5 linked regions of the Coturnix japonica genome follow. The protein of the gene in region 2 interacts with the protein of the main gene of each other region in a pairwise test. Links are inferred from orthologs where the notes say so. Each region holds a gene or a part of one and is shown on either strand. Other genes may lie near its edges.

Region 1 (6,188 bases), on a different chromosome or scaffold from region 2:
GCCAAGGTAAAAAAGCTGCCTGTCATGGCTGGTGCCGTGTGCTGCCACCGGGAAGAGAACCCCAATGCTGGCAGTGCACTGGGGTGCAGAGGCGATGCTGATGTCGCCGGAGCACTGTGAGCACCACAGACTGCTGAGGCAGCGTACGTTCTGGCCTGTGGATGGGAGGAGGCAGGCTGCTAAGGGCGTGCTGTTGTATGTTGAGCACCAGAACTCTCATCCAGCCCGGTGTGAGATTGTCCTGTTCAGGAGTTTGGTACAAAAATACTTGCTCTCGCTTTGCTTTTTTTTCTTTTTTTTTGCAGTCTGCTTTCCTAGGGGTTGTTTGAAAATACTTTTCAAACGCTACAGCAGTGCCTGTCAAACCATGCTTTCAGCAGTAACACGCTCTTTCTTACAAATATACAGTGTAGAAGAGGGAAATATTATACGGGGTATGCTTCTCGCTTTCTTCTAGAAGAACAGATGTGTGATAGAGGCTGTGGGAAAGTCTTGGAGGAATCCAGACTTGTGTGAGGTTTCTTCCTAGCCTACAACAAGAATGGCACGGGTTACAAACACAGCCGGGCTGGGGAGGCAATGCTGCCTGGGGGAGCAGCAGCCAGCCTGCCCCTGTACAGGCACATCTCGTGGGCATGGGGCAGGCGTGGCACTGGGACGTGGCTGTTCAGGAGGGCAGAGTTAGGTTGTGTTTTTAGTTTAAGAGGAGTGTGACCAGTGTTGCTATAGGGCAGGAAGCTGTATGGCAGAGAGGGGGTGGGGTGACAGGGCAGTTGGAACTCCCACCCCCGCTGTGGATGATTAAGCATGGGGGGACAGCCTGTGCCCGAGCACTGCGCTCCTTACCAGCACACTGTGGTTCTGCAGAGAGCGTGCGTGCCCAGCAGCCGCCGGGGGGCTCTGTTCATACCCACAAGACTGACCGTCGGCCGCCATCACACACCCGAGACCTGTGGGTGGCATGGCAGGGCTCAGGGATGGGGCTGGCACGTCCCCCTTCCTACCCAAGTTTTGGCTGGCACCGCAGGTGTGCTACACGGAGGACACCGGGGGGCACTTACACAGCATTCAGCAGAACTGACGGGACTTCCAGCCCTGAGACCCAGCCTCGGAGGGAGGGAGCCAGCGCATCTGCAAGACATGGGGGCAGGGGGTGAGCAGGAAGGAAAACTGCAGCAAAGGGTAGTGCAGCCATACCCTGGGGCTGCGGTGGCTGCAGTGCTGATTCCTCCAGGAGGAGCACAGGTGCTGCCTGTCAGCGCTGCCTTGACAGGGGAAGTATGAGGCTGCAATAATATTTACCATTGCTCTTCCTCTGGGCAGCTGGCCCCAGAGCTCCCCTCCTTTCCCTCCCTCTTGCTCTGCCTGTCAGAAAGGCTGCAGTGCTGTGAGCCAGTGCCATTACCTGGGCATGCAGCGAAGCAGGGTATGTGAACGCAGGAGGAGGTAGAGCAGGCGTCAGCTCCGCTGGGTACAGAGGGTACGGCCCCCACACTTCAGGGCTGCCGGGGTAAAGTGCAGGCACTGTGAGCTCATCTGCAGGAAAAGGAGGAAAATTAATCCTAAAAGCAAGGGGAAAGTGGACAGCAGGTATAAGCTTTGCACTTCTGCCCAGGCCACCGTCACCTGCCCTTGCGTCATCCCAAGCACAAGCAGCTGGTTTCCAAACCCAACCACAGTTGCCGTGCCTCTCCAAAAGCTTCCCTGCACCCAGCTCCTAAGGTATCACTGCCCCAACTGCTTCAGTAAGAAAGGGGCATTGCCAGGGCCATATACTGGGCGGACCAGGGTCAGGATGCAAGCACTCACAGGGCTCCCTGGCGATGAACTGAGGTACAGTGTTGGGGAGGGGCGTGCTGGGGTTGGGAGTGCCCATCAGCTTGCTCTTGGCCATCTTGGTGTTGGCTTTAGCAAACTCTAACCGCAAGGTCTGGGGGATCTCAGGGTCGAAGCGGATGCCCTGTGGAAAGGAACAGGGCAGCAGAGGTCAGTTAGGCTGAATCTTGTGGTAGGGTGCTGCCCCCCATTCAAGAAGGCCATTTGGGCTAAAACAGCCTCGGATTTTGTCCCAATATCCCCACGGGCTGCTGGGGTGGCCGTGACCTCATGTGCTTGGCAGCGAGCATGGCCCCGTGGCTCACATTCCTCTGACATCCTCGAGCTCAGCACCATATTTGGTAGTCGGTATCCCGTGCAGCCACGCTCCCAGCAAGGGATTAGCGGCGTTTTGCCTCAATGCAAGGATGGGGAGGAACCGGGCTTCCCCAGGAGGTCTCCACGGGGTAATAGATACTGGGATCCATCTCTTTTGGTGTTCCCTAGGGGGTCCCAGCACTCACGTTCAGTGCATTCTTGGCGGCCTCAGCTTCTGAGCGGCTGTCGAAGCTCACGAACCCCACGGGCTGCGGAGAGAGGAGGCGAAGGGCGGTCAGGGCCAAGACCCCACCACATCCCCAGCAGTTGGTGAGGGCAGCCCCCAGGCAGGTGGGGGCACGGTGCAGCCCATACCTGCTTGGAGGTGAGCTTGATAAGTGACCCCTCATAGCCCTGCGGGAGAGAAGAGAAGCACCATTGGTTTCATTTGGCCTCAGAGGCCCTCAGAGCCCCATAGCGGGTGCAGTACCTTGAAGGGCCTGAAGAGCAGGTAGAGCTCGCGGGGCTTGATGTCCAGGGGCAGGCCGCTGACAAACAGGGTCCTCACCTGCAGGGGCAGAGCGTCAGCTGGTTGTGGGCCTGCAGGAGGCTCCCCAGGGCCTCCAGGCCACGCTCCTGCACACAGCTCTGTGCTCACGGCCTCAAGGAAGTGCCCGCTGTGAGCTGTGTTCCTGAAAGCTAAACCCGCCCGAGCCTGACTTTCCGGGTAATTTAGCCCCATGGCTGCGCAGCAGATAAGAGAGATAAAGGCCCTGAAAAAAAACCCTCCGAAATTAGGCCTCACAGAGATGCGGCTTCTCCTCGGTAATGACTTGTTTTCTTTGAAAGTTCAAACGCAGGTCGGCCAAGTCGGGCCAGTGCTGCGGTGCTCAGTGAGCAGGGAGAGAAGCGCAGATTACAGCAGGAGCTTGAAGGGGGGTGGTGGGGGAAATCCCATTTAGGCTTTTCCCCCCTGCCCAAAACCAGAGACAAGCAGAGGCTGGGGAAGGAGCTGCGATGCGGTCTCCCCAGCAAGGAGCCGTGGGGAAAGGCTGCCCCTGCTCTGCCACGGAGCGGGGCAGCTCCCTGACAGAGGCTGTGGCTCTGGAGCCTTCCCCGGGCCCTGCAGATGCTGTCAGTGCAGGCCGGGGTGGGCAGTGGCAGAATCCCCTCTGTGGGGGCTGGGGACCCCTCCCGGAGGGATCCTTCCACGCCAGTGGGCTGACACCCCCCATGGCAGCCCCACCACCCTGCCGCGCTCAGCCTTTCTCCCCGGCTCGCCTTCACCCCTCACCATCCCTCGTCACAGCCCGGGACTGTCACCAGGCGAGGGTGGTGAATGTGCTCCGGAGCCACCCCGTGCCCACCCCACCGCACCCCTCTGTTTCTGCTGCTGCCCACGGACAGACCGGGGCGCAGCCTCGTGCCTGCTCCGTCCCCTTCGCGCTGTCCCCGCCCGGCAGGTTTTCTCCTCGCCCCGGGGACATTCGGGGAGACCTGGCGGGCCTCGCTCCGCCCGAGAGCGGCCCGGAGGCGGCTCGGCACAGCAGCGGCGGCCGCGGGCGGTGCGACGGGCACCGGGTCAGCGCCGTGGCCCCTCGGCTGCCCCAAGGACGCGGTCACGCTCCGCCGCCCCAGCGCCGAGCTCCGCCGGTCAGCTCGGGCAGGAAGGGACCGTCGGGAGGAGCGCGGTGACTCATTCCCCAGGCATCCGATCACCTTCCCCGGGCTCGCTTTAATGTTCCACCAGCGGTGAGCCGCTCGGCTGCCCCCGCCCCGACCCCCGCCCGCGGCGTGACCGCGACCCGTCCTCGTGCCCGCGCACTCGGGGTGAGGGCGCGGCGGCCGGGCAGCGGCGGCACCGACCTCGCGCTGTGCCGGGAGCGGTGCCGCCGAGAGCCGAGCGGGGCCGCCGTCCCGGCTCCCGTCCCCGGCCAGGCTCTGTGCGCGGCCGCCGTGCCGCCCGACGGGACCTTGTGCCGCCGCCTCCGCTCCGGGGGACGAGGCGCCGTGCCCGCACCCCGCGTGAGTCCAAGCGCCCCGCGTCCCACAGCCCTTGTGCCGAGGCGCACCCGGCTCCGGGCCGCTCCGCCTCCCCCCCCACCAACTTCCATAGCTTCCCGCCGCGCCCCGAGCCCCACGCCCAGGCTGACGGGACCCCGCGGACACGCGTGGGGGCCGCACCGCTCCCGCCCCGGGACCCGGCCCGCCCTCGGCGGCTCCCCCTCCCCCGCCCGGCCCGCTACCTCCTCTTCGGGCAGGCCCGGCTCGGCGGGGCCCTCCCGCTCGGCGGCGCCGCTGCTCATGGTGCCGCCGCCGCTCCGCCACCCGCCCGCGGCTGCCTCCGGCGCGGCCCTGCGGCGGGCGGGAGGGAGCGGGGCCGGGCGGGGCGGGGCCGGGCGGGCGGCCACACGGCGCTGGGGGAGGGACGTGGGGACACGGGGTGGGACGGGGCCGGGGACGGGAGCGGGGGTGGGACGCGGAGCTGGGGCGACGGGACGCGGGGTGGGGATGGAGGACAAAGGGCTGCGGTCTGGGACGTGAGGTTCGGTGCGTGGCACGTACGGCTGGGGACGAGGACGTTGGAGTTGGGACGTGGGACGCGAGGTTGGGTACGTAGCACGCGGGGCTGGGGACAGCGATGGGGACGCGGGCCGTAAGGCTGGGAGCACGGTGTGAGCACATGGCACACGGGATGCGGGACAGAACGTGGAACAAGAGGTGTGACACAGCTGGGAACACAGGGCCGGAAGGCGTGACAACGGCTGGTGTGGGGAAGCCAGTGGGACACAGGCGGCTCTCCTGGCAGCGTGGCTGGCCCTGCTTTGGGGAGGTGGCAGCCCTTGGGCAGTGCTCGCAGCCCCTGTTTGGACTCAGCCTTAGGGGTGTCTGCACATCCTGAGCAGCGCTGCACCCACATTGGGACGGCGAGGATCAGATGCCCACTAAAAGCTGCAACGTACCATCTCCCCCTCCACACAGACAGGGTGGGCCACGCAGGACCCCCGCACACAGGCAGGGCCCACCTGCCCACACCCCGCTGCAGTCCTGCTGTCTCTGAGCAGCCTCTCCTCCACACTCGGCACACGGCGAGGCCCGGCCTCCCTCTGCTGGCTGCTGCGGGATCCGTTGCCACACTACAGGGCTCAGGGTGGCTTCTGGCCCACAGCTGTGGTACAACAGCACCACGAGGTTAAAAGTGGTGCTCAGCGCTCCTGGCAGCACATTGCAGCTCCCCATCACCACCCAGCCCTGAGTTTGGAGGAAAGAATGGCAACCACACCCTGCAGCGAGAGCAGAACCACTTTATTCCCATAAAGCACGTGGAATGTTAGAGTTGGTGTGAGGGAGACGACAGGTCCAAAGCCTGTGGGGGCTATAAATAAAACAAAGCGAGAATGAAGGATGCAGAGCCCAGCTGCTTCCCGGGCTGTGCCCAAAGGACAAGAGGCCCCAGGCATGCAGCTGATGGCAGAAGGCTTTCAGCTCTTAACAGGTGTGGCCGCAGCCTTCATCGTCTTCTTCAGGTGATGGTAATTGGGCAGGATTTTCATCAGAAAGTCCAGCTGCAGCGTCTGGGGCTGCAAACAGAAGTGCTGTCAATGGGCAGCCACCAGGGGAACCTGGGGGCAGGGGGACAGCACCTACCTGCGGCCGCTCGGTCTGCACGCGGCGCAGGCAGTCAGCGCCATAGATGACAGTGTTCTCAGGGATCACCTCGTAGGTGTTGACGTTGCAGCAGGCCCCGATGATGCAGCCGCTCGTCAGGATCACGTTCCTGCCAACAAATGCTGTAAGGAGAGTCTCCGTGAGGGCCACCCTGATTAGAACCACGTGCTGCTGCTCTAACAGCAAAAACTGAGCAGAACAAAGACAGCCTGAGCTCACCTTTGGATTCAATCACGTTGTTATCTCCCACTTTCATTGCCTGTGAATCTACAGGTTATTGTCAAAGGAAAATCTTTTGGTTGAAAAGGTGTGCCCCAATGCCACTTTCAAACCAAAATCTGTCCCGTAAGCACCCCCAGGCTGCTCGTGCCTGGGCAACATCCACA
Region 2 (5,612 bases):
ATAACAAGCTCTCTGACTGCTTTCCTGCCATACCATGGTGCCCACACCCTTGTGCTTTGGGTTTTTCTTGATGTTTGGATCTGGTTGCTGGAGCACAGCTGGAGACACTTCTGCTCTTCCTGCAACTCCTACAACAGTGGAGTCTGGAACAGTCCAGAAACATGAATTGTTGACTCAAAATTTATCTTACTATTCTGGCAAAGGCCCAAACCTCCAAGGTGCTTCCTTTTGACTTTAGGGAATGGACGTACTCAGTGCTTTGTCAGATGGAGTCCTGAATTTCAACTGCAGCAATTAACATTTGTTTGGTTAACACACCTGTCTGTCTCAATTAAAATGATACTATCAGCTTGCAAGGTTGCTTTTCTGTCTAGAATCTCACCACAAACTTTGAAGCAGAACTTGCTCCTTTTCCCAGCTGACTTGTGTCAGTTAGAGTGGCAATTTTATGTATAATTATACTGTGCATCTGATAATGCCTTTCACATAAAGCCAAATTTACTCTCAGCTTTCTGTTGCACAGTCAGGTAATTTCCATTCTGTAGGAGCAGAAAAAAATAAAACCAAACTGACAAACTTTTAAAACTAAATAAGCCACCTTGCACTTTCTGCCTGATTCTTAACATTTTAGCTTGTATGAAGTCCTTCCATTTGCAATTAAAGCTTCTAATCCACTGCAGACACGGGGCGTTGTTCTTATGTTGCAGCCTCCATCTCTGCCATAGGAGATGTCCACTGAGGGATACCAGCTGCCCTCTGTCCTCCAAGGCTGAGCGTGCTAAACACTTTAGCCCTACATTCTGTTAGAATATATCTTAGTAACTGTCTAAGCATCATTCTCTAACAGGAGGTCTCCATTGCCTATGGACAAACACATTTTAGTAAGAAAGGAAAGGAACATATATTAATGTTAATTATTTTTAATAAAATGCCTATCATATGTCCATAATCAAGACAAATGTAGGAAAGGCAATAAACTGAAACATCCCAAACTCTGCTCTACCTAAGCTATCTCTCTTGTTAAGTTTGATATGAAGAAGTGTTAATGTGGCCAAAGTGGCAGTAATAGTATCAATTTTTGCACTAGCTGAAGCAATACAGTTACAGCTTGGTAAAATAGGTCTTTCTCAGAAATATATATATTAGAAGATTATTTCTATTCTTAGCCTTGATCTAATGCTCATCTCCACTCTTTGCACCATACTACAAAATTAATACCCATCCATTCATCCTGGGAAGACACAGCTCACTGGGCTCCTGTGCATCAAAGTGGTAGGTGAAAAGCATGATATGAATGCTGACATTACAGAATGGTGTGGGGTTAAACAACGAAATTTATGTCATCGGAACACATGGCCCACAGCAACATGGACCCTGATGCTGCTTGGCAGGTGGCTTAGAACTAAAGAGTCCGTCTCAGAAGAATAAGGAAGTTAAGAACTAGTAAAATTCACCATAAAATCAACATCTGCTGGAGCAATTTGATCTCCACAGTGGCCAGTCAATACCATGGAGACTACAGATGAGCTTAGAAAGTAATAATTATGTTTATTACTCAGCAAACTCTTGTTTTCTCTTCATGTGTCTATTCAGAAATCACTCTTGTCTTTGCACTATGAGAACAGGCAAGCAGAAAAAGCTCTGCAGCCTGGGGAAGCAGATGATCCCAGGAGTCTTACTCAGATCCATCAGCTATTGCTTCCATCCACAACCTTTTGGTGACACTTACACCTCAGGTCAAGGTGAAGACCTACTTGGTCCCTACTGGGGACCATTGCCTTCAGTGACACTGTGTTCCCTGTAAAGCTCACGTTACCACAAAGAGCTCGCTCCAGAGTCTCAGAGGAACCGGGACACATCTGACACAGCTTTGTTGCTGCCAGTTGGCCTGCCTGCCCCAGTGCTTGACTGCAAGACTTTTGGAGTACCCAGCTAGCAGTGAATGCAAAGCACAAGGAATCTAGACTGTTCCAAACAGAAAGAATCAAAAATGGCTTCAGCAGCACAGAAAGTTAAGAAGGAAAGGCAGCTAAGACATTGGCTCATTGGCTGGCTGCCTTATCCTTAAGGGCGTGAGATTTCACCTGTTGCCTTATTTGATGCATGGAGTGTTTACTCTCTCATGGATCTCCTAGAGAGCCATCCTCTTCTGGTTTCTACGGTATGAGATAACATCTCTTTATTGGAGTTTTTAAACAACTCTAAGGAAAATAACTCATTAACAGATGGGAAAATAATTGAATTCACAAAGTAAAAACTGAACTAAACTAAGGAAAGCTCTGGACATCTTCTCACAGGGGAGTCTGCTGATCTCTTATTTAGACTGTTTCTCTAATGCCGACAATTCATTTTACATTAGCAAATGCTTTGGGGAAATGCCATGTGCTTGCAGTCTCTGCAATAATAAAGCTAGATGTTAGTAAATAGTTAATGTTGTGGGACACTGGGATGTCAGCCAAATCTTCTCATTTTCTTTAATGTTTTCTAAGAGCTTGTCTGAAAGGCATTTGCAAGCAATGCAATACTTCACAGATTGAAATTCTTATGGCTGGATCAGTGTCCTGATTGTATATACTACCCACCTGCACACCTTACATTTGCTCCCTAGACCTGACACGCTACATTCACTGGACCCAGAGTTTTATTGTTCTTGTGCAATCTCCTTGATACAGAAGCCTATCATCTAAAGCATCAGCAGGATTCCTCTTAAAATTACCTGCCAAAGTCCTTGCTCAGTTCATAAGTTCAAGAAACCTTTCAGATATTGAATTATCCAAACTGAGGAAGAAAATATACCTGGTCCAAAAGTGGAGACCTACATCTCATTCAGTGAAGATCTGCATTGATTTAACATCATCTGAATCCAGTTCAGAATTCCTTTCCTAGTTTAAATCCCTGAACTAGCTTTGTCTCTTTCTATACTGTTACCTAATCATACACCTCAGCTAGGAGTTGCAATCCTACTCCCTGAGGTCTGGAATCCTTTTTCTCTTCCCCTAAGCGTACCTTAAAACTATCTATCTCTACTATCCACAATCTAGACAGGAAATAAATATGCCATTGAGTTCAGTGAGGTTGTTCCTTCATGTATCAATCACACGCACACACATACATAAATTCCTTATTTTGATTACGCATATGTGTGGCTACTTCACTAAAGATTGTGCTATCTGTTTCTGTAGACAGAACACATACAATTCTTAAATCTTGGCCTGAGAAGTTTAGGTTCAAGTACATTGTACAATGTATACAATTACACAGAATCATAATATACTTCATTCATTAAAGAATAATGTGGCAATTTGCAGAGGTCTACCTGTGCTTGTCCGCCTGAATGCAGCGGGGGGTGCGGCGAGGTCTGGTGATGTGCCGGGTGTGCGTGAAGGTGCGAGTGGGAGTGGTGGTGGGGGTGATTCTGCTGGTGATGAGGCTGAGGATGAGGATGGTGCGCTGGGTGCTGGTGCTGGTGGGGGTAGGAGTGGTGAGGTGGCAGTGTCTGGTGTTGATGAGGATGTGAGTGCATATGATGGTGTGGCGTCTGGTCCTGCCGCGAGCTCATCATTTCCATCATGTGGCCCATGGTGTTCATATTCCCATTCGACATGGCGGCAGGGTGGTGAGTCAGTGCTGCCTTCAATCTCTGGAACAAAGCAAGGAAGAAAATTTATATGTGGATTTCAGAGCATTCAGAATAAGATTTCTGTTGTTGTAGAAATGGTGCCTTGTGTTTTGGGATGCTTTTTCTTGTTGTTCCCTTGGTAAACCACATCTTATTCCATTTTGAGAAAGAACATATTCTTGGGCTCTAATCTAATTTTCCACCATGAGTATGTAGAGATGCAAACACATGAATTAAAACTTAACATTTGCACATTTCCTACTGTGCTGCTGAAGAGAAATAACTTGCTTTCCTCCTTTTCTGTTTGACCAGCTCAGTACCCTTAGTTTCATCAAGTTGTTGTTCTTTCAGTTTTAAAAAGAAAGGTCTTGATTAAAATAAAGGTGAAACAAAGTCTGATATTTAGTTCTTCTCTCCTTTGTACTCTGGATTTTATTTAAAAGACTACTTAGAAATACACTGCACTGATGTGTTTTTAAAGATTAAGTTTGAAGTATTCTACAATTGTAATAGCAGTTAACCTGTGTTGTTATTTTTTCTTCATTAGAAAGACAAGAAAATTATAAGGGTGGTCCCAACCTGATCCTTTTTTTTTGCTAAAAGTTCAAACATATGCCATGTTATCATGCGCTAAACTCTTTTCTCCTCATGTTTTGCTGGGTCCTGGAGCACTGACCAGGACAATGCTTTCCTTAACATCAGTGGGATTCTGTCACAAACCACCAAAGAGTAATGGGAAGGGCTGCTAGATTTTAAGCTACGAGGTATGGTCTGTGCGTACCAAGATGATAAACAAATGAAATAAAAAGAAATAAAAAGGTTCCTGTTCAGCACAGTTGCAGGGTCACCCCAAAGCTGCGAATTATACTGGAACACAGCCACCTCACTGATGTAATCCTGCCCTTCAGACTACTGAAATTACCAGTGTTTTAGACAAGTGTGCTAAAGTTACAGCTTGACAGGTGTCAGCTAGGAGAAAGGCTTCTTTTTCACACAGAGAAACTTCCTTCATACCCGTAACTCCATGTCTTGCTGAATGTAGATCATTCTTTCCAGACAGACACCCAAGATCTCACTTTGAAGAAGCCAATGAGCACTTGCTCAACTCTCACTAATGCAAGTAATTAGTCAGCAGAAAAATAGCAGGAAGAAAATGCAAGGAAGGAGTTCCATGGTATTACTTGATTCCAGACTAGCATGTTCTGAATAACCCATGAAGTAGTTGATAATTCATTATCCAGCCAGACAGTGTAATGAGGAGCAGACATCTCATCATTAAGAGCGATCATTTGCAGGAAAGCCAGCAAGAAATGGTAGTGGTACAAGGAACAGAGGTGTACATTTCCCTGTGTCAACCATTGTAGGTCACAGATCGAATTCAGAAGATCCTACAGCCAATGTGGATAACTCTTGCCAAGTGGAAGAGTAATCACAATATCATAGAGTCACAGAATAACTGAATGCCTTGGCATGGAAGGGACTTCAAGGATCATCAAGCTTCAAACCCCCATCTGAAGGCAGGGCTTCTAACCTCCATATCAAATACCAGAACAGGCTGCCCAGGTCCCCATCCAACCTGGCCTTGAACACCTTCAGGGACGGGGCATCCACAACCTCTCTGGGCAGCCTGTTCCAGAATTGAACTGCATTTTGGTTTTGTCTTTAAAGACAAACCAACTTGTCAGGGAACACAGGATGTGTATACAAGAATTTCAGTCTGTATTGAAATGACATCTGTCTGTGCAACTCTATTGCAAGGTAATGGGTAAAGTTCGGTACGTTGCTTCACTAACGATCAACACGCTGAATGATAGTTTAACAAAAAGAAAACATATGAGCACTTTGTAGGACATACCTATGTCTCAGATGTATTATGGAAAAATAGATCACTGACTTAAAGATGTTTCTTCACAGAAAGCCTCTCAAATTGTTGCTACACTACGACTCCTGACAATCTTCTCACATTGATGCAGTTATAGCAGCAAAGTTAAGT
Region 3 (6,373 bases), on a different chromosome or scaffold from region 2:
AATGCTTACTTAGGGAATTAATATACCTAGAAGCTTTTCAAAATGCCACTTAATGTCATAAGTGAAATGAGATTGCACTGGGAAGTCCACTGCCTGTGATAAGGCATTAGAAGTCACTTGCACAGAGGGCTTGTTTCACCAGTAGGCATTCCAAGGAGAGAGCCTCCATTACTACTTTCAGCACTCCATATCATAGCAAGACTTTAGTCAGACTACATTCTGTTCTAACTTCTTCTTTCACTGTTTCCCCACCCAGCTTCATACAAATTCTTACAAAGGTTATGTACAGACTTGTACAAAATTGAGACTGACACTGGCTGCTGGAGAGTTTCCCGGAGCAAGTTAAACAGAGATTATATAACATGTTAAATCTGTGTTGTTGTTGTTGTTGTTGTTTTAATACAGTTATTATAGTACTAGTTTCTTCTTCCTAGCTTAACCTTTCAACCACCCTTTCAAATAGTTGTGTTTTGTAGAGATTAAAAACCTGAGGTTATTATACACATCTTGTTTGCAGCTATTACGTAACACAGGGCAAATGAATTAAAAGTGGGGGGTCTTAGCAAGTTGCAACAACCATTATTTTCTTTCCATATATGCTACTGTGAAAGTCATGGGGAGTGGGAGGAAATCTTTCTTGTAGTTGATATAAAAGCAGAAGCACAAAGCTAGTACAGAACCTGACTTCTACTCTCTATTTTCTAATCAGAGATGTCAAAAGCTGCATCCATCTATCCATCCAGAGACCACTTGCTCCAGTGCATGCCAGATGAGAAGTCACAAGCTCCACAGGTTCTTAGCTCACTTCCAAACAGAATTCAAAACTTCTGCTTCATCTCAGCTGTTGTGTCTCCCGTGGTCCCCAAGATAACGTCATAGGATAAATTCAGCTTAAAATTACAGCGCACTAGTAACAGTAGAAGGTACTGGCTATTCCCAAAACGTCAAGCTAAAGAGTCCAATCCTGACAGAAACCATTTCAAGGTGTAGAGCGCATCTTTGTGCAAAGCCATCTCCAAGACACCAATCAAATAAACAGTTCCGAAAGCATACACAGAGCAAAGTAGGCCTCACTTCGTTCTGAAGGAATCCCCAGGAAAAACCCGGTTGCTTTTCTTGGATGTTCTTGAGAGTCACACACTTTCAGACAGCATGCAGTAACACGGAACTTTCTTTTTGAAATTAATCTATGGAGGTTTTTTCTTACAGCACTGGGGCTTTTCTTTTTTTTAGGACTAGGGTAAAACATGTCAGCTCTAAGGATGGGGGAAAAAAAAAGCCTAAGATTTACAAACACCCCTCTTCTCCAGCTGATGCTCACTTACAAGGTTGATTTTGTCATCACACCGTGCCAGCATCTTCCAGAATTCAGAATACATCATCTCGTGTTAACTTAAGATAGTCACTATGGATATGCCAGGGTGGATGCTTAAGTACAAACTGCCTACAACTTGTTTGGTCAGTGTGGCAGAGCTTGCCAGCAGGAATGGCCACAGGAACGGCCCAGGGCATTGCCTCAGTTTCTCCTGAAGCCATTAGCTCTGCTTCAGCCCCTATCAGTGCTGTTCTGGGACCTTACTCCTACTGTCTCACAGTTGAAAGTCAGCTGCATTCCCTTGTTTCACAGGGCCCAAGGTTCTAACCTCACATCTGCTTAGCATGTTATTTTCCACAAAGCAACCATCTCCTATCACATGATCTCAGGGGACAACCACGTAAACTTCCATGAAAAACAGCAGGGAGGTACAAAACGGCCCGCTGGAGGTACTGGATCCTTTTGATGGCTACAAATACTCGTAGGAAAATAAAACTTCTTTGAGCTTAATGATGTACTGTGGGCTTTTCTTCTCCATCTCATTGTTTTTTCATGTAGAGTTTAGAAATAAACAATGAGCACACTTAGAAGGAGGAAGTTTTCCACACATGCTTTCTATTAATTTTATTTCCTCCACAGATTTTCTCATAGTTTTACTCACCAACGTTTTCCTTCTGTTCTCATTGAGGAAAACAGGCAGAATTTCCCTCCTTTCCCCACTAGTTGCTACTAAATTTCTGGAAGATCCAGAAGACATTTCATTTTAACATTAAAAAAAAAAAAGAAAGAAAAAGGTTTTTGCAGCAGTGCTGACTGCTGCCAAATAATTATTTAATAATTATAATGAAATATTTCCAAGAGGAAAAAAATCTGTAAAAATACCATGATTTCATTCCATTATAGCCACAACAGGTACAAGCAATGCAAGGAAGTAACCCATAGTGCTGTACAGGTTGGCTGAGAAGGGGTTTTATTCTATTCTTTATTTACTCCAATGAAAAGATGACACTGGAAGATGACATCTGGGGACTGGCTCTCACCTCAGGGATAGAATTCCATGAAGGCCACCTCTCTGCACTACCCAGAGACTGTGAGACCAATGCAGAAGCCAGTGGGTTTGGCCTAGGACAGCTTAATCATGGAATGGCCTGGGTTGAAAAGGACCACAATCATCACCGAGTTTCAACCCCCTGCTATATATGCATGGCAGCCAACCACCAGACCAGGCTGCCCAGAGCCACATCCAGCCTGGCCTTGAATGCCTCCAGGGATGGGGCATCCACAACCTCCTTGGGCAACATGTTCCAGGGCATCACCACCCTCTGCGTGAAAAACTTCCTCCTAATCTCTAACCTAAACCTCCCCTGTCTCAGTTTAAAACCATTCCCCCTTGTCCTATCACTGTCCATCCTCATAAACAGCTGTTCCCCCTCCTGTTTAAACACTCCCTTCAAGTACTGGGAGGCTGCAATGAGGTCTCCTCAGAGCCTTCTTTTCTCCAAGCTAAACAAGCCCAGTTCCCTCAACCTTTCCTCACAGGAGAGCTGCTCCAGCCCTCTGATCATTTTAGCAGCTCTCCTCTGGACCCACTCTAAGAGCTCCACATCCTTCCTGTACTGGGGGCCCCAGGTCTGGACACAGTTGTGGTAGAGCTGGGTAGAGGGGGACAATCACTTCCCTCTCCCTGCTGGCCACCCCTTTTTTAATGCAGCCCAGGATGTAGCTGGATTTCCAGGCTGCAAGCTCACACTGCTGGCTCATGTCCAACTTAATCTTGGATTTGATTTTACTTTGAAAGAAAGAAAAAATGAATCATAATCTCAACTTAAGTATTTGAGAGTCAGGCTCCAGAAGCACATTTGCTAATCCAGCGCTGATAAGGTTAATGAGATCAAAGCCAGACCCCACTGAGTGTTTAACAGAGATGCTTCCTAACATGGGTCAGGGTGACTACAGCTGTGTGTCACAAACACACCGAAATCAGCATCAAGATGACACAGATCAGCCCTTGCTCTGATTACACTCGCTACTCCCACTTTCTGCCTCCCACCGACTCTCTCAGCCCCTATCTTTCCAAACTAAAATCAGTGAGTGTTTGATTTCAGGGCAGAAATTCATACAGTCATCTTCAAACATTGTGTCCGTCTCCTCTCCTCCCCAGCCCCCACTGTTAGGCAGTGAGGGCTCCTTGGGCTCTGCTTCAGGCACTTACCTTCTTATCCAGCAGGCAAACCAAAGTCCAATCCCTTCAATTCTGTGATTCGGCGAAAAACTCAGACCCTCAGCAGTCAAGTATGCAGGGAGCAGCTCTCCCACCATCTTCTTTTAAGTCTCCCCAGCAAGCACGGAGGGGCCTAACAAAGCTCTATGCAGCCAATTGTGTTATCAAGGCACTTGGCACTACCAGCTGACCCTCGATTGCTATTCATCCCTCGGGAAAATAAAACACCCTTTTGTAGTGAAAGTGTAACCGGTTACTATGATGCGTTACATTAACAAAAGCAGCTTTTTACCAAAATTACGGATGATGAAAGCCTGGATGTGGGCTCAGACCAAGGGAACCAGTTGTTTCTACATGTTTCAGACAGCTTAACCAAGATTTCCACGACACTAAGAAGAAAGAGGTGGATGAGTTATGTTACATGTTTGTACAAAAAACAGCAGTGAGTTCTGTAAACCAAATTTCAAGGATTTTCTGTCACAGAGATTTTTTGTGTGGCAGCATCCTGTGCACACCACCGTAATCTCAGTATTCATGGGATCTCTGGTATTTTTGTGCTTTGCTTGAAATCAACACAGAATTTTTTAATATGATTTTCTATTTTTACTTTTTCTTTTCTAGGGGTCCTGCTTATTAAAGAGCATAACCATCTGAAAGATAGAATCTGTAGGGTAGAAGGGTAGAGCTTGCTGATTTGGTGGTGAGGAAGCATGCCAGCACATTCAAGGTTGTATTTGTGTTCTAATCTACTTAAGCACCCCTTGGCCTTCACACCTGCAGCCCTGTTTAGGGATCCCTCACTCTCAAGGCAACAGCTCTCCATTAAAGCTGCGGTGCCCAGGTTTGGGCTGTGGCAGTGCAGCCAGGGGGACATTCACCTGAAAGGAGCCCAATGACTTTGGTCGCCTCACCTTACTGCACCCAACACATCCAGCTCCCAGCTAACACAGCAATCCAAACGCCACGGAGATGCCTCATGCATAACAACGTGAGGCCAAATAGACACAATTCACATCCTCAGCTTTGGGAAAGCTCACTGACAGAGAAGCTGCTTTCCATGGCATTAAGCAGAGAAGGCTGGACGGGAGCAGCTACCCTGTGTGAAACCTGAAGCACTCTCCAGCAGTGTAGAGAAAAGACATGACCTCATTGTTCCACAACCCAGATAATCCATTCCTGGATAAAGCGAGAGACAATGAGTATTTCACCTTGAAGGTTATCAAAGAGTTTGCCACTCTCCATGGAGGCGTTTGCTTCCCCAGACAGGGATGTGAGAACTTCTCTGTGTTAGTGAAAGAGACGAAGCCATCAAGGGGTTGTGGCTGAGACCACACAGCCATGCCACACAGGCACAGGTACTGAGAATGGCAGCATGTCCTGGCCTATTCATGCACACAGGATGGAGGCATGTCTCTCTGAAAGTAATGCCACATATTTGCACAGAAACAACAACAGCTACAAAGAACATAACAACACTATTTGATAGAGCAAATTCTCAGCCACCCTTTTTCAACATAGTCATCACCACCAGTTATGCATTTTTGCCAGCGATGAACAACGGCCTGCATGCTGTGCTGAATCACTACCTGAGACTTCTCATCCCTCTCCAATGACTGCAAAGGGAAGTGAGAACCTCCTCCTTCCTCCAGCCTCATGGTGAGTGGAATCCAAGCCTTTCTGCTATGGGTTTCACACAGCCACATGCAGGCAATGCACTAGCTTCAAATTTTGCTGAAAAGACCCCAAATCTGTTTGAGCATTGGCTCAAGGGGAAGGAATGTCATCTGGTTGCCATTGCCTTCCCTCGCAGCACCTGCGCTCCTGCTGGAGTCCTGCCATGTGAGCACAGAGCAAGACTCTTCCCGCATCGCTGCACTCTTTGGCGGATGGGTTAACAGAGAAAACACGTCTCCTTCTGCTGTCAGAACACTGCAGGTGCTGGGTTTAAGTCTGCAGGCAAGAATGACACCATTTAAAGTACTTAGCAAAGAATACACAAAGCCCTGGAGAAAATGCATGGCCTGGTTTCCTACAGAAAAATTTAATAAATGAACAGGCAGAAGTTGCAGAAGGAGCAGACAAAATCCAACATTAGGGGCAGCTTTCTGCTGAAATATTTCTCTTCCACATGTCAACTCGCCATTCAAAAGTATGCCCAAATTCAATTACAATGCTGCATACGTCTTGAACCCACTCCTTAGGAAATGATCTTTATTGAGCTGTATTTATGAGATCACCTTCACCATTTTCTTTCATGTCAAGTATCAGCAAAAGCAAAAGATTTTGCTCATAGATAAAAACAATAGATAAAAATAATTATAATTCACTTCAAACAACCCAACAACATTAAGCACAAACACAGAAGAGACAACCAAAAGCCTTACAGCCAGTCTCCTTCACCCTTGCCTGTTGCAGTGAGGGCTAATTTTCCTATCCGTGGACTCACAAGCATCCATCTAACTCTGACTCAACCAGACAACACAAAGGAAAGCACCGTGCTTTACCTTTCAGCTTCCTCTACCCTTGCCATGCCCCATCAGCACGGGATTTGCACAGAGCATCATCCCCACGCGGCCTCACCCACAGCACTGATTGCCGATGCTGATCTACAGGAGCGTTGTGTTTGGCACATGCCCAGCTTCTGGAGGAGAAGAACCACACTTTGACATTGAAAACAAGTAAAGCAACTAAAAGGAAAGAGCCAGAACACACAAACCTGAAAAATCAGCTCTACAGACACAAAATTAATCAGTTTGCTGATTTTAAATAGTCATCCTTGAACGAGAACTCAGCAAGCATCACGTTCCATTCACACTCAGACTGCAGAAAATTATCCA
Region 4 (6,230 bases), on a different chromosome or scaffold from region 2:
ATCTCGTGTTTGCTGTTCAGTATTTGGATTTCAATTGCAAGAAATTCTGAAGCCCCCATGAAGCAGTATTTCCATTAATATTCAGGGAAGATACAAGAATATAGCAAGTACTGTATTTTAAAATATGTAGTTCAGCTTTGCTTTCAAATCAGCAGCACCTGAGGCTGTTTAGTCCATCGCAACCTAGAAATGGTTAAGCACACAGCTATAAATTAAGGAAGCACCAGGTATATATAATCTCCAAAGTCAAATAACCTAGGAAAATGACCACAAGAATGCCTGTGCTGGTGGAGCAAAACATACAACAGCCTAAATCTGTAAAAGAGTCCTCAAAATATAAATCCAGAGCAGAGCCATTCCCCCAAAGAGAAAGGGGCCACCTGCAACACAGAGGAAAGTAAACAAGCAGGGAAGCAGCGATCCTGCTTCTCAATAGAGCAACTCAGACTCCATCTTAATCCTGTCATCATTCATCCCCGCTCAACAGGCACTACATAACGCAGCACTTCTTCTGTTGGGTAACAACACTGAAACTCAGAAGCATTTCCAGACAGCACTAAAAATCTGCCATCAGATTGGGAATTCTGTACAGTGCTTGCTGACCTGCATGCTCTGACATTATTATGTTAAGTTGCATGAACAGCAGATTGACCCACGAGGCCACACGTCCCACTAATTCCTTCATTTGAAAACTAAGAGCATTTGTGAGCGCTTCATTGTGTTCTCACTGACCACACAACAGCACCGAGAGGAAAAAAGTAATGCAGAAATGGATCTGAAAAGGTACAGAAATACTCTCGTTTATCTAACGTCTAACTGACAAATGCAGTGAAATCTTTACAAGAGCGGTCAAAAATCAGCACAGAAAAATCCAGCTGTGGCAGTCAGGATTTTAGAAGGCTGCCTGACACGTGCTCATGACTGACAGGAAACCTAATAGTCCTTAATGCAGCTTTTTAATTAATCTTCTGCACCACACGTTACAGTTGAAAAGAATTTAATATTATTGACTCCAGGCACCACAAACCTTTATGTCTTACTCCATAAAATGAAGCTTTGTAATCACAGCATAATGCTCAATTACTGGGATATTGCTGGTAGCCACGATGTCACCAAAAACACTGCCAAGTACCCGTATTTGCTCTTACATGCAGTGAGATTTGTTAATGAATTCAAGGCCATTGATGATATCAATTATTATGAAATTAAGCACAGATCTTCTAATATATGATGTATTTCAGCATGTAGATCTGCCCTATTTTCACAAATAATTTCAAATTTCAATCCTATTTCCCAGTCATTCATAGCAGCAATCCAGTGCTGTGTGCACAATCAGCAGAGAGGAATGACTCCGGCCCTGCCAGAGCTGCTGTCAGAACTGCAAATGAAACTGAGGGAAATAGATATATATGTACATATTTCAACCCTCCTCCCCCCACACCCCGAGTTAGAATGCTTGTGACATTCTAGGAAGTAAAAATATCTTCTGTGTGAGAAAAAGCACTGCTGCTGATAATGCATCGTTAGGTTATATACATTGAGCTACAAGCAACGCTGAATGAACTCAGACTAAACGTTGCATGACAGCTTGTTCCTCCTATTTCAAATAACACTCGGTAAAGCCTTCAGGTATTCTCCCACTTCCACCAGAGACAGAGCCTCCTCCACCCCACAAGTGGATAATTAAGCATCACCTCCGTGTAATTTGTTGAGGTAATGAAATGGTGTATTCACGAGCAACGAGCAGCTCCATTTTAGCACTGGCAACTGCAGAGCAGTCGCACCGAACGGTCACGGTGGCTGCTTCAGTAGTCCTGCATTGCTGCATTTCAGTCCTTTTTTGTTTTCCTCCTTTCGTAAGGAAGAATTAAAAACATTTAAAACCAAAGTTAGGATTTTGACCTTTCAACAGCTGACGCCACATTAGAACGTTTCTGTCATTCTGGTAGCCCGGAGGTGAGGTGCAGGCTGCCTCCCGCACTGCCATACACCCCCCCGATCCGCAGTGCCTGTACGGCCCGCCTGCCCGGGGCTCCCAGCGCCGCTGCGACGGCCGCTCGCCTTCCCCTGCCCACGGCACAGCGCACATACGAACGTCGGTCATTAATAAGGACCGAGAAGCGTTTAAGGCACCGTATGGAAAACACGTTCGCGTGAGTGGATTCGATCTTCTTTATTTTATTTTTGAGCCGACGCTTTCGGCAGGGGGAAACACGCTGACGTTTTCTGAATAAACCCTTCCGTGCGGCGATGTGCGCCTGTGCCGCGAGAGGCATTTTCTGAACCAACGCCGCTTCACATGAACGAGCCGAGCACGAACCGAGCGTGGCCCGAGCCCGGCCCGGCGGCGCCCCCCCCCCAGTACCCTGGGCCGGGTGGCCGCCCGGCTCCGCACGGACCCCCGCGCCTTCGCCGTGCCCGTCCCGCGGGCCGCCCGGCAGCTCTCAGCGTGCAGGCACCGCAAACTGAATGGACGGCCAGGTACTTTATGAATGGAGCGATCACGTGCTCCCAGCACCTCCCCGGCTGATATTTCCCACATAACCGTGTCAACAAGCGCTGCACCGCACGGCGATGCGCGGCTCCCGAGCGGCCCCGGCCGCAGCCCGCCCGCCGGCCTTCCGCACCGCGCCCCATCGTCCCGAGGGGCGGGCGGCAGCGAGAGCGGCGTGCCCGGCCGGCAGGTCGGATGGCGTTGTGTTTTTTTTATGAATGGAGATTGTGGTATGCAAATGAGAGCGATTCACAAAAAAAGAAAACATGGCGGCGGCTCCGGCTCCGGACCCGGCCCCGCTGACACCGCAGCGGCGCGGCCCGCCCCGGCCTCGCTCCCGGCCCGGCCCCCGCGGCTCGGCGGGGCGCTACGGGCCCGGGCCGCGCGGCTCCGCGCCGGGCAGCGCCGTGGGGCGGCTCCTGCGCTCTTCCGCCCGGGTGGCGGAGGCGCCCCGCAGCTCCCCAGCGACCCGCAGCTGCCCAGCGGTGCCCGCACGGCCCAGCCGGGGGTGGCAGCGGCAGGGCGCGGGGCCGCCGGCCCGAAGCTCCGCGGCCACCCGAACTTTATTGCGATAAAAGTAGTTTCAGAACGCCCCACGATCGCGTTTCGCCGTCCCGAGGCACTCCCGGGTTCTCTGCCCTCCGTTCATCTCCTCTTCCTGCCCCAGAGATTTATTTCTCTATTTTTTTCTTAGTATTTTTAAGACGTTACGTACGCTGGGCTGCAGCCGCACGACCGCGCATTCTGCTCTAGGTCCCGACACGTTAAAAACACTGAGATCCCTGAGCTGCCTCCTCTCTTAAAAAAAAAAAAAAGTCCCAAGTCCTCATTAGAAAAAAAAAAAAGAAAAAAAAAAAAAAGAAAGAAAAAAAAGCAGGGCTCCGGGGCAGGTTTAAGCCGTATTTACACGGACTGACTCATCCAATTAACATTCAGGAGCAGTTTCCTGCAGGATGGAGCTCCCACACGCCCGTTTCCATGCGGAACACACCGCCGAGCACCGCGCTCCGCAGCCCGGCCCGGCCCCGCCGCCAAGGGGCGACACCGCCACGGCCCCGCGCACCGACCCGCGCCCCCGTCCGCGCACACGCGGGGCTTACTCGGTGTTAGCAGCCGCCGTCTCCTCGCTCATTTTCCCCTCACCGTGATCCGAGGCGGAGCAGCAGCAGCGGGGCGGCCGGGGCGCAGCCAGAACTCACCAGAAACTTCACCATTGTTCCCCCCCTCCCGCCCCCAGCCGCAGCCGGGCCGGAGCGCTCCGGGTCCCGCAGAAGCACGAAGCCGCCGTATCCGCGCGGATGGCGTGACGGCGTTACGGCGATGCGGCGCTGGCGCGGCTCCGCTCTCTCTCTCTCTGTCTCCCGCAGTTACTGGGGAGCGGCGCGGCGGCGCCCAGGCACAGCTCCCCGCCGCCAGGCGCAGCGCCGCGCCGTCCTCCCGCTGCCGCTCATCGCTCGCCGCGCTGCCGCCCTCCTCCTCCTCCTCCTCCTCCTCCCGCCCTCTCTTCTCCGCCGGATTCCTGCAGACGGCCGCGGCCCGGAGACGGGGGGAGGGGAAGGGGGGCTGGTGCCGAGGAGGAGGCTGGCGGCAGGGGGGAGGGCGGCGTTTTAAGGCGGCCCGGGGGTGGCGGTGGGGGGGGGGAGGGCCGGCAGCGAGGGGCTGCGTCACGGCGGTGCGGTGCGATGCGGGAAGAGCGTGCGGCAGGGAGAGCCCCCGGCCCGTGCAGGGCTGCGGGAAGTTGGGCGCCGCGCTCCTCGCTCCGCCGCCCCCTCACAGGAAAACTGGGCGGAAGCGTCGGCTTCGGGCTCCTTCCGCCGCCACCGCGCGATCCAAAATAACCGCAGGGGAGCGGGGCGGAGGGAAGCGGGCGGCCCCCCCGCGCACTCCTCCCTTCCACCCCCCCCGCTGCCCGGCCGGGCCCGCCGCTCTCCCCGAGCTCCGCGGCCGCTCGGCGCTCCCAAAGTAGTTCCCGCGGCGCTGCCTCACGCCATTCCCGGGAGCCGCCGCCGCGGAGGGATACGCGCCGCGCCGTGCGGTCCCGGGCCGGCGGGGCTGATGGGCGACACGAGAGGGGCCCCCGCCGGGATCCCCCGCGCCGGGCCCGCGGGATGGAGGAGCGAAGCGGGGCAGGTAAGAGCGGGGAAGCGGCGCGGTGGGGGCTGACAGTACAGTGCGCATCCGCTACTTCTCAGGCACTTCTCCCAACTCCAGCCCCGTTCCGTTTTTCCTGGAACCGCTCATTCCCTCCCCGTTGCCGCACGGCAGCGATGAGCTGTCCCCTTCCTGTGCGGAAACGCTGCGGTTCCCACGCGGTCGTCCGCGGGCTGCTGCCCTCGGGGGGCGGGGATGCGGGGGGAGCGCCTGGGGCACCGCCGGCAGCGGGGTGGGGAGCGCAGCCCTGCCGGGGCTGTTGGAGTGATGTCCAGAGGCTTTTTCTGGACGGCTTTTCCTTTCTTTTTTCTTTTTTTTTTCGTGTTTGAAAACTATGAGAAAAAGTTGATGTGAAGACAAAGTTCCTGTCAGGTTATTTTGGGGGACTTCTTTTTATAGAGGAGGTTCACAGAGTCGTTAAAGCATTTTAAATAGAACTCGTTTTATATATATATATATGCCTATATAATCTTCTCTTCCAGGCAAAAGAAGGCAGTTTACGTTCACTGTAACATTCCTGTTCCAAACTCCAAACGGGCTCTGCCATCAGCGTGATGGAGCAATCACAGCAAGCTGCTGTCACGCCGCTCTGCTCAGTGGCCCACGTGGCACGTGTTTGCACGCATCCCAAACGTGCCCTGTGATGCTCTCTTCCTTATCAGGGCAGCTTTTGGAGGAAAATTTCTAATTGTTTAGTAAAAACATTTTTTTTCCTAAAATGGTATAGTAAAAAATGGATCGGTTATTCATGGCACAATCTCATCTAAATACTAAAAATATACCAGAAACCCAGTTTTGCACAATATTATAATTCACAACGATTCAAATGTATGATTTGAATATAGGGACCTCTTGCCTGCCCCCGTAAAAACATGGTTTGAAACTCAGCTGTGGGGACATCGCATTACTCTACCTAGCAGCAAGAATTCTTTTAGAGTACTTTCTGCCTTGTGATGGGCACATAGTGTCCTGTACAGGAGTGCTCAGGAACAACTCCGTTTGTCATACAGCTCTATTCAGACACCTCTGAAGAAAGAGACAGGATCACGGCAAAAAGATAGAGAAATCTGCTGTATTTTAAAAATTCCTTAAATGTATTTATTGTAATATCACTTCTCACCACGACAATTCAATAAAACAAAGTTGTTTGTAATCTAGCACAAATAGTTAAAGCTTATAAGAATGCCTACATTGAGAATAGAGTGTGTATTCATTTATGAACTGAAAATGGGATAAAAGTCATGTGACTTTTATGTATCTGCATGGAGGAGGTAAGTGGAGAAGAGCTCATTGCTTCTTTACATCTTGTAGCTCTTCAGCTTCTGCTCACAATCTCATGGCTCCATACACATAGCAGAGGTCTTACAAAGAGTTTCTGTCTCTATCTGAATGTCACAAAGAAGACAGAAAACCTGTTGGCTTGTCTTGAATCAGAAATCCTCCTTGTCTCTGCTGAAATTGGGAAGATCAAAGAACACCGATATGGAGTGGCCTTTTGCTGGGCAGCAGTTGGTTTCAGAGCCTTCCAGTTTTGTGTTTTGGAGCAGAAAATCAGGCATTTCATTGTCAGTGGCTCATTTGAAAA
Region 5 (6,107 bases), on a different chromosome or scaffold from region 2:
TCAGTGAAAGCAGAACATGACATATCCACAGAAGCTAGCCAAGACCTCAGGAGTGTCCCCAGCAAGGACCAGAGCAGTGCCTGAAGTAAATACAGCACTGCCAGCCCTGGCCCCTGCTGCATCCCAGTCTGCCCTGCGCCAAGCATTTGGCTTTGTAAGCTTCCTCTCGCAGCACCCTCACCTAGCCCTGTCCTTGTTCACTACCTCCTCAGCATCCCCACTGCTCCTTCCAGCACAGGGCAAAAGGGGAATTAAGGAGTTTTTAGAAAAACACACTGTCAGTCCAAAGAAAAGGAAGAGAAACTTAGGCTCTGAAGTGCCATTACTAAACAGAACAAAGCCACCTACCAAAGGATTCCCCCAAAATCCTGGCTTGGTCTGCATGAAGCTGGGTACAGCGACAGCAGCAGCTCACCTCTTGCTCAGAGGTTCTATACTTGCCACACACAGTGTGAGAAGCCCAGCCCAGGGATGGTTACGTGCAGGGATATGTATTTTAATAGCAGCCTATAAAATAGTTCTTAGGTTTGAGATCGGACAAGTTCCCTGCAGCTCTCTGCACTGTCTAGACAAAACAAGGCAGCAGTAAAAACCAAGGCAGTAGGTAATGATCTCCAAAATACGCGTACACCTAGTTTCAGACAGAGGTAAATCCATCTGTATAATACGCTGGCACTAAACTGCCAGGAAAACAATTGCTTGTCCCCGGAGGGGGAAGCAGGGGAGGAGGAATGCTTTTGTCTATGAAGAGCTCCCATCAGGAGACTTTCAATGGTGAGACCGGGCCTTACAAACAGGCACGCCTTGCTCCAGCTGCCTCCGCACCCACTGCGGAGGGTCGGAGCTCGTAGGACCCGCAGCCTGCAGCATTTAAATGGTCGTGCGGAAAACACCCGCTCTAAGGTCAGCACAGCAGCCTCGTAGGGACACGAGAGCCCTTGCATCAGCTTGACCTCAGCCCAGGTAAGTGTCCTAGATAAGGGACAGCACTTCACAGGTTTCCTTTTCAGGGTGTGCCTAGTCAAGCACCGTGCCCAAATGCTTTGTTAAAGCAAGGCTACTGCAAATAGTGTTCCACATTCTGATAGCAACAGCACTTTGGGCTAGTTTTATCCAGAAGACACCCAGCTGCCAAAGCCTGCAGACCAGAAGATCCAGTTTGAACGCAGATAAATGCCAGTTTACAGCTTTGGATAGCCCTAAATCTAACAAGAAAGGACAAGAGAAGGCAGGAGCGCATCTACTGAAGGGAGTGGGGAAACAATGCTAACAGGATGGCACTGAGACTTGGCAGAAGCCTCACCAGAACCTCTGAAGCTCACCTGCAGCTGGAGCCCAATGCAACCTCAGTGCACCACACACATCAGTAAATGCTACCCTCATGAGCACTGGCAATGGAGGCCCAGAGCTGAGCACTGTACACACCTCAAAGGAATTTACTGGTGAAAATCCCCTTCTTTATACTCTGCCCAGTGTAGGCTGTGACCACACGGCCCGCAAGAGGATGGCTCAGTGACTCCACAACCATCACATCGTTATGAAAAGATCTGAACTTCACAGCAGGGACAAAGTGCAAGACAAACCACAGGCGCGGAAATCAAGAGGTGCAAGTTCTGCTGCCAGTTCCACGAGTGCCTTCCACTGTGACCTTTGCCTACTTGTGCCACCACCAGCCTTTCCTGCACCCCAACAGAGAGAAAGAAACATCCTGCCTTCTTTATACGGATGCTAGAAGCTATGACTGCACAATGTATTGAGATTTTTTGGTGCTTTGCTATGCAAAGACAGCATTTGTGTTCCAGAGATAAGGACCTTTGTGGTGGTGTAACACCACTGTAGCCTCCACCCACTGACCTGCTACAAACTCCCATCAGAGCCCAGGAGAGTCAGACCCATCACCAGATCAGCCATGTAAGATACGAACATCTGACACAAGTCAGCCCCAAGTTACTAGTCAAGTGGCTGTCACCATCTGAACGCTGTAGAAGCCACTGGCAAACACCCCTTTATTTCACCCAGAGGGTTTCTGCACCCCCAGCACAGGCTTCCTGGACAGCAAAGAGAGGTGCTCAGCTCAACCACATTTCTCTGCTCACTTTCAGGCCAGGGTACGAGGCCATGCTGGCTGCAGCCTGTCTGTGCCATGCCCCATTGCTGCCACCGGTTTCCTTTTTCATCCCTCCAAGTATCTTAAGAATTCCCTCAAACCCGCATCCTGTACTCTCCAGAAGTGGTATTTTCCCCAGATACCTAAGCAGGGGGGCACATTGCTGAGCCTGCAGATAAGGACACCAGGGTTGCTGCTGGATTTTCCCTATGCTGTGCTTCCCACATGGCCAAGCCTTCCCACCAGGACACCTCACCACAGCCATGCCCCGTGTGCCTGCCCCACCTCCTCATACGCTGCTCCTGCTCCCAGGGGCACCCCTCCACCAGCTCTCAGCTCTCCTTATCTACAGGGACAGGTTGGGCCACAGCCAAACTGTGGGGCCGCACGCACAGCACGCACTCTGCTGCTGCTCTCCACCCGACCCAAGCAACACGCGGACACAGGTATCATTACACAAGCAGAACAAGGAGCGAGGAGGAGGCCTGTTGTTAGGAGTGCAAAGAGCTGAGCCCAGCCCTGGCTCTGCCTCACCAGAGCCGGCCCCGAGGAGGCCCTGGCCCTGCTGGGAGTGACACGCTGCAGGGCTTGCCCAGCTCGGAAACAGAGGAAGGAAAACACACACCAAAATACCTCCCCAAAAATCCACCTAGAGAGTCTTAACTAACACTCAGTTATCCAGTACAGAGCATAGGGCCAAAGCCTCTAACAAATAAAAGGCCCCACCAGTTGTCCCACACTGAACGCCTCCTTGAAGGACTGGACACAGCGCTGGGATATCAGGGGAGAGTTGCCCAGTCTGAGAGCACACAAATTATTCCCGTGAGGGGCTGTGCGTACCACATGGCAAGGCAGCGATGGGGAATAGAGCACGGCACGCAACTTGAAAGGAAAAATGTTCCAGTGCTGTGCTGTATGGGAAAAATAATTAAAAAGCATCAAAGTTTTGGCTCACAGACACAGTTTCCACTCAAGCATGTGACTGGTGCGTCTTCCCTTGCTTTGGGAAGAGGAAAAAAAGAAAAAAAGCCGAAGAAAAAATTTCTGCAATGCATATTTTCTGTGGCGATAAAGCCCCGCAGATCTGCCCAGCCCGGAATCAGCAGAACGGCCCCATTCCTGGGGGAAGGCAGCACTCGCATGTGATCCTAATCTACAACATCTGCAGGGACCGAGGGAAAGACGCCTCGAGATATCTCCGAATCCCGAATGCTCCTGCCAAGTCCCGAGCTGAGCCCGCGTCCATCACCTCCGGGTCCATCACCTCCGGGACCGGGCCGTGCCGTGGGACGCACCAGAGTTCGGGCACTGCCAGAGCACACGAGGGACGAGGAGAGGAACAGTTATGAACCCCTCGGCCGGCCTGAGCTCCGGGGCACGTGCCGGAGGACGGAGCGCAGGGGCCGCTGTCATGCGGAGCGCCGGATCCCGCTGCCGGACACGGAGATAGATGTGCGAGCTCGGCACGGCCCGCAGAGGGCACCCGAGAGATGCGATCGGAGGCGGCTGGGAACCGCAGCGTCATTTCTGGTAAAACTTCTTTAATGGGAGGAATGTCACGGGCTGGTACGGTTGGCAAAGTTTGAGACCGGACTTTTTTCTTTTTGGGTCTTTCTTTTTTACCTTCCCCCTCTTCTTCCCCCCTTCCTGACGATCTTACGGCTTCTCGATGGGAGGCAACAAGGCGCACCCGCCGCCAGCCCGATCGCACAGACCCACCCGAGAAAGAATAATACCGGGAGAAAAGGGGGAGCGCGACTCCGAAAAAGCCAAAGAGTGGGGAGAGGCGGGTCGATGTAAACAAGTTATGAAATAACTTCGGTTTGTATAACTGCCCCGGTTGTGTAACGCCTTCCACCCAAGTGGTGGATTGGGGCTATATGGGCGAAGAACCCATTTTTGAACGTTTTCTCGAAAAAAAATGGATAGACGGGCAAAGGAACGTCGCGCCCTTTGGGCCCGGCTTCGAGGAAGCCGCTCCCGTCCCCGCCGTCCCACTCGCCGCCCGAGCCCCGCAGCCGAGCGGAGCGGCCCCGAAGGAAGCGCGCAGCCCCGCACCGCCCGGAGCCGGAGCGTGACGCCGGGGCGGCGGAGCAGGGAAAGAGAACGGCCGGGAGCCGCGGGGATAAGAGTCGGTCCGCTCGTGTGCTCCGTAGGGGAGACGGCCCGGAGCGCCGCGGGACCGCTCGGAGAACCTCCCGGCACAGGGAAGGGGAAAGGACGGGGAACCGCCGCGCTGCCCAGGGGCGCCGCCCCGCCGGGAGCTCCGGGCGCGGTCCCCCGCACCCCCGTGGGTCCCAACCGCCGGGATGCGATCGCTCGGCTCCGGCCGCGCTCCACCCGCCGAGTCGAGTCCACGGCGCCCACCCCGCCCGAACGAGAAGCGGCGGATGCGGCCCTACCTGCTGCGCCGCGCCGGCCGAGTAGGGCTCGGGGTGTCCCGGGGAGCCGCTGCTGCCTCTGGAGGAGGTGTCGAAGCTCCCGGGATAGTCCTGGTACATGGTCCGAGCCCGGCCCGGGGGAGCCGCGTCCCCGCCTTCCCGCGCCGCGGCCGCCGCTCCCTCGCCGTCTCCCCGCCCCTCGCTCCGTGCCGACCTCTCGGGCTCTGCCTCGCGCCTCCCGCAGCGGGAGAGAGTCGGCGGCGGGAGAAGAAGAAGGGGGGAATAAAAGGAAAAAAAAAAGAAAAAGAGAAAAAGCGGAAAGCCGACCAAAAACTACGGCGGGCGGCGGAGCGCTGAGCGGGCGCCGAGCGGGGTTCAGGCAGTCGCAGCCCCGTGCGCTGCGTCCCGTCCCGTCCTCTCTGTCCGCGCCGCCCGAACTCGCCCCTCCGGCGGCGCGGCCCCGGCCCTGGGGCTGCGGGCGGAGCGGCTCCCGCCCCCGAACGCCCCTCGCTAAAAGCGGCGCTCCCGCGCGCGGTGACTCAGAGCCGCAGCAGCAGCAGCGCGGTGCCCGCCGTGACTCAGGGCACTGGCAGCGCCCGGCCCCACGCGCCGTTTATCCGGCCCCGCGCCGCCGCCGCCGCCGCACCATGTGCACCCGCACACGTCAAACCCGCGGCGCTGCCGCTCCGCCCCCCCCGCCCCGGCCCGGAGCCGCCCACCTGTCCCCGCGGGTGGGGACGGGCCGGCGGGCGGTGACTCCCCGCGCTCCGCCCCGGCTCCGCTCCGCTCCGAGCGGCCCCCGGCGGCCCGAGCGTCCCGCGTCGTTCCCTCGCTCGCCCCCGGCTCCGTCCCGCCGGCTGCCGGTAGGTCCCCGTCGATGTCTCGCCCCCCCGCCCGGCCGTGGCCTCTTGGTGCCGTCCACTGTCGCACGTTGCCAAAAATGGGCATTTGCGTCGCACTACGCCAGCGCGGGTTTCCTTGCCGCGGATGACGCGCCCAGAGAGGGATTCCCTGCTCCGCACCGACGCCATTTAAAGGGGCAGCGCGCCCTCCAACATAGCGGGACCACCGGCACCGGGCGCTCGGCAACACGCGGGTTCCAACGCCGTGCGCCGTCCCCTACGAACGTACAAGATGAATTCCGTTGTGCAACGGGCTCTCCCTGCACCCGACGGAACAAGCGAGGGCTTGTCCCCCGCACAACCCGTCCCTGCCCCAAACCCGGCCGCGGGGCCCCCTGTGAGACAGACGGAGGGAACGTGTGAGCTCCCCCGTCACCCCGGTACGGCGGTGCGGGCTGTGGCTGTGCGCTGTTCCTCAGACGGCCCGTTGTAAACGCGTCCCGTAGTGACCCCCCGCCCGGCTCCCGTTGTTCTGGGGAGCAGGGGGTGACCTGCGGCACCTGACACACGTGCAAAGGCGGCCGAAGTTCCGTGAAAGCAATTCCGTACCGCACGGACAGCACCGAGCGCAGCAAAACATGCTGAGCGCTGCTGCTTCCAGGCAGCACTGAGAGTTCCGAGGATGATCTCGCCCAGGATGTTATTCCATCTTTCCACCACAACCCGCGCTTTTTCCGTCTCCTTCCCCTCGCTGCTATGTATGGAACTGCGGGGAGC

What was found.
Region 1: the proteins of CREB5 (region 2) and RBPMS interact in binary tests that used the Homo sapiens proteins (3 or more experiments, as listed by UniProt). The two-hybrid records come from large-scale screens. The link is inferred for Coturnix japonica from reciprocal best matches to the Homo sapiens genes CREB5 and RBPMS.
Region 3: the proteins of CREB5 (region 2) and SPRY1 interact in binary tests that used the Homo sapiens proteins (3 or more experiments, as listed by UniProt). The two-hybrid records come from large-scale screens. The link is inferred for Coturnix japonica from reciprocal best matches to the Homo sapiens genes CREB5 and SPRY1.
Region 4: the proteins of CREB5 (region 2) and SPRED1 interact in binary tests that used the Homo sapiens proteins (3 or more experiments, as listed by UniProt). The link is inferred for Coturnix japonica from reciprocal best matches to the Homo sapiens genes CREB5 and SPRED1.
Region 5: the proteins of CREB5 (region 2) and FOSL2 interact in binary tests that used the Homo sapiens proteins (3 or more experiments, as listed by UniProt). The two-hybrid records come from large-scale screens. The link is inferred for Coturnix japonica from reciprocal best matches to the Homo sapiens genes CREB5 and FOSL2.

The regions. Positions count from the first base shown.
Region 1 is NC_029519.1:30,662,742-30,668,929, forward strand, and holds the start of RBPMS (RNA-binding protein with multiple splicing), read right to left. Parts: upstream 3,503-6,188; 5' UTR 2,876-3,502; coding exon 2,624-2,875; intron 2,548-2,623; coding exon 2,509-2,547; intron 2,403-2,508; coding exon 2,340-2,402; intron 1,961-2,339; coding exon 1,810-1,960; intron 1,537-1,809; coding exon 1,406-1,536; intron 1,132-1,405; coding exon 1,069-1,131; 3' UTR 1,062-1,068; intron 951-1,061; exon of another isoform or gene 847-950; intron 531-846; 3' UTR 1-530. Other genes in the region: DCTN6 (dynactin subunit 6), read right to left, coding at 5,616-5,714, 5,782-5,924, 6,022-6,069.
Region 2 is NC_029517.1:30,649,911-30,655,522, reverse strand, and holds part of CREB5 (cyclic AMP-responsive element-binding protein 5), read right to left. Parts: intron 3,641-5,612; coding exon 3,317-3,640; intron 1-3,316. UniProt on the Homo sapiens protein: Binds to the cAMP response element and activates transcription.
Region 3 is NC_029519.1:47,745,164-47,751,536, forward strand, and holds the start of SPRY1 (protein sprouty homolog 1), read right to left. Parts: upstream 3,645-6,373; 5' UTR 3,528-3,644; intron 1-3,527. UniProt on the Homo sapiens protein: Inhibits fibroblast growth factor (FGF)-induced retinal lens fiber differentiation, probably by inhibiting FGF-mediated phosphorylation of ERK1/2. Inhibits TGFB-induced epithelial-to-mesenchymal transition in lens epithelial cells.
Region 4 is NC_029520.1:25,855,494-25,861,723, reverse strand, and holds the start of SPRED1 (sprouty-related, EVH1 domain-containing protein 1), read right to left. Parts: upstream 3,910-6,230; 5' UTR 3,627-3,909; coding exon 3,595-3,626; intron 1-3,594. UniProt on the Homo sapiens protein: Tyrosine kinase substrate that inhibits growth-factor-mediated activation of MAP kinase. Negatively regulates hematopoiesis of bone marrow.
Region 5 is NC_029518.1:24,465,780-24,471,886, forward strand, and holds the start of FOSL2 (fos-related antigen 2), read right to left. Parts: upstream 4,193-6,107; 5' UTR 3,633-4,192; coding exon 3,357-3,632; intron 1-3,356.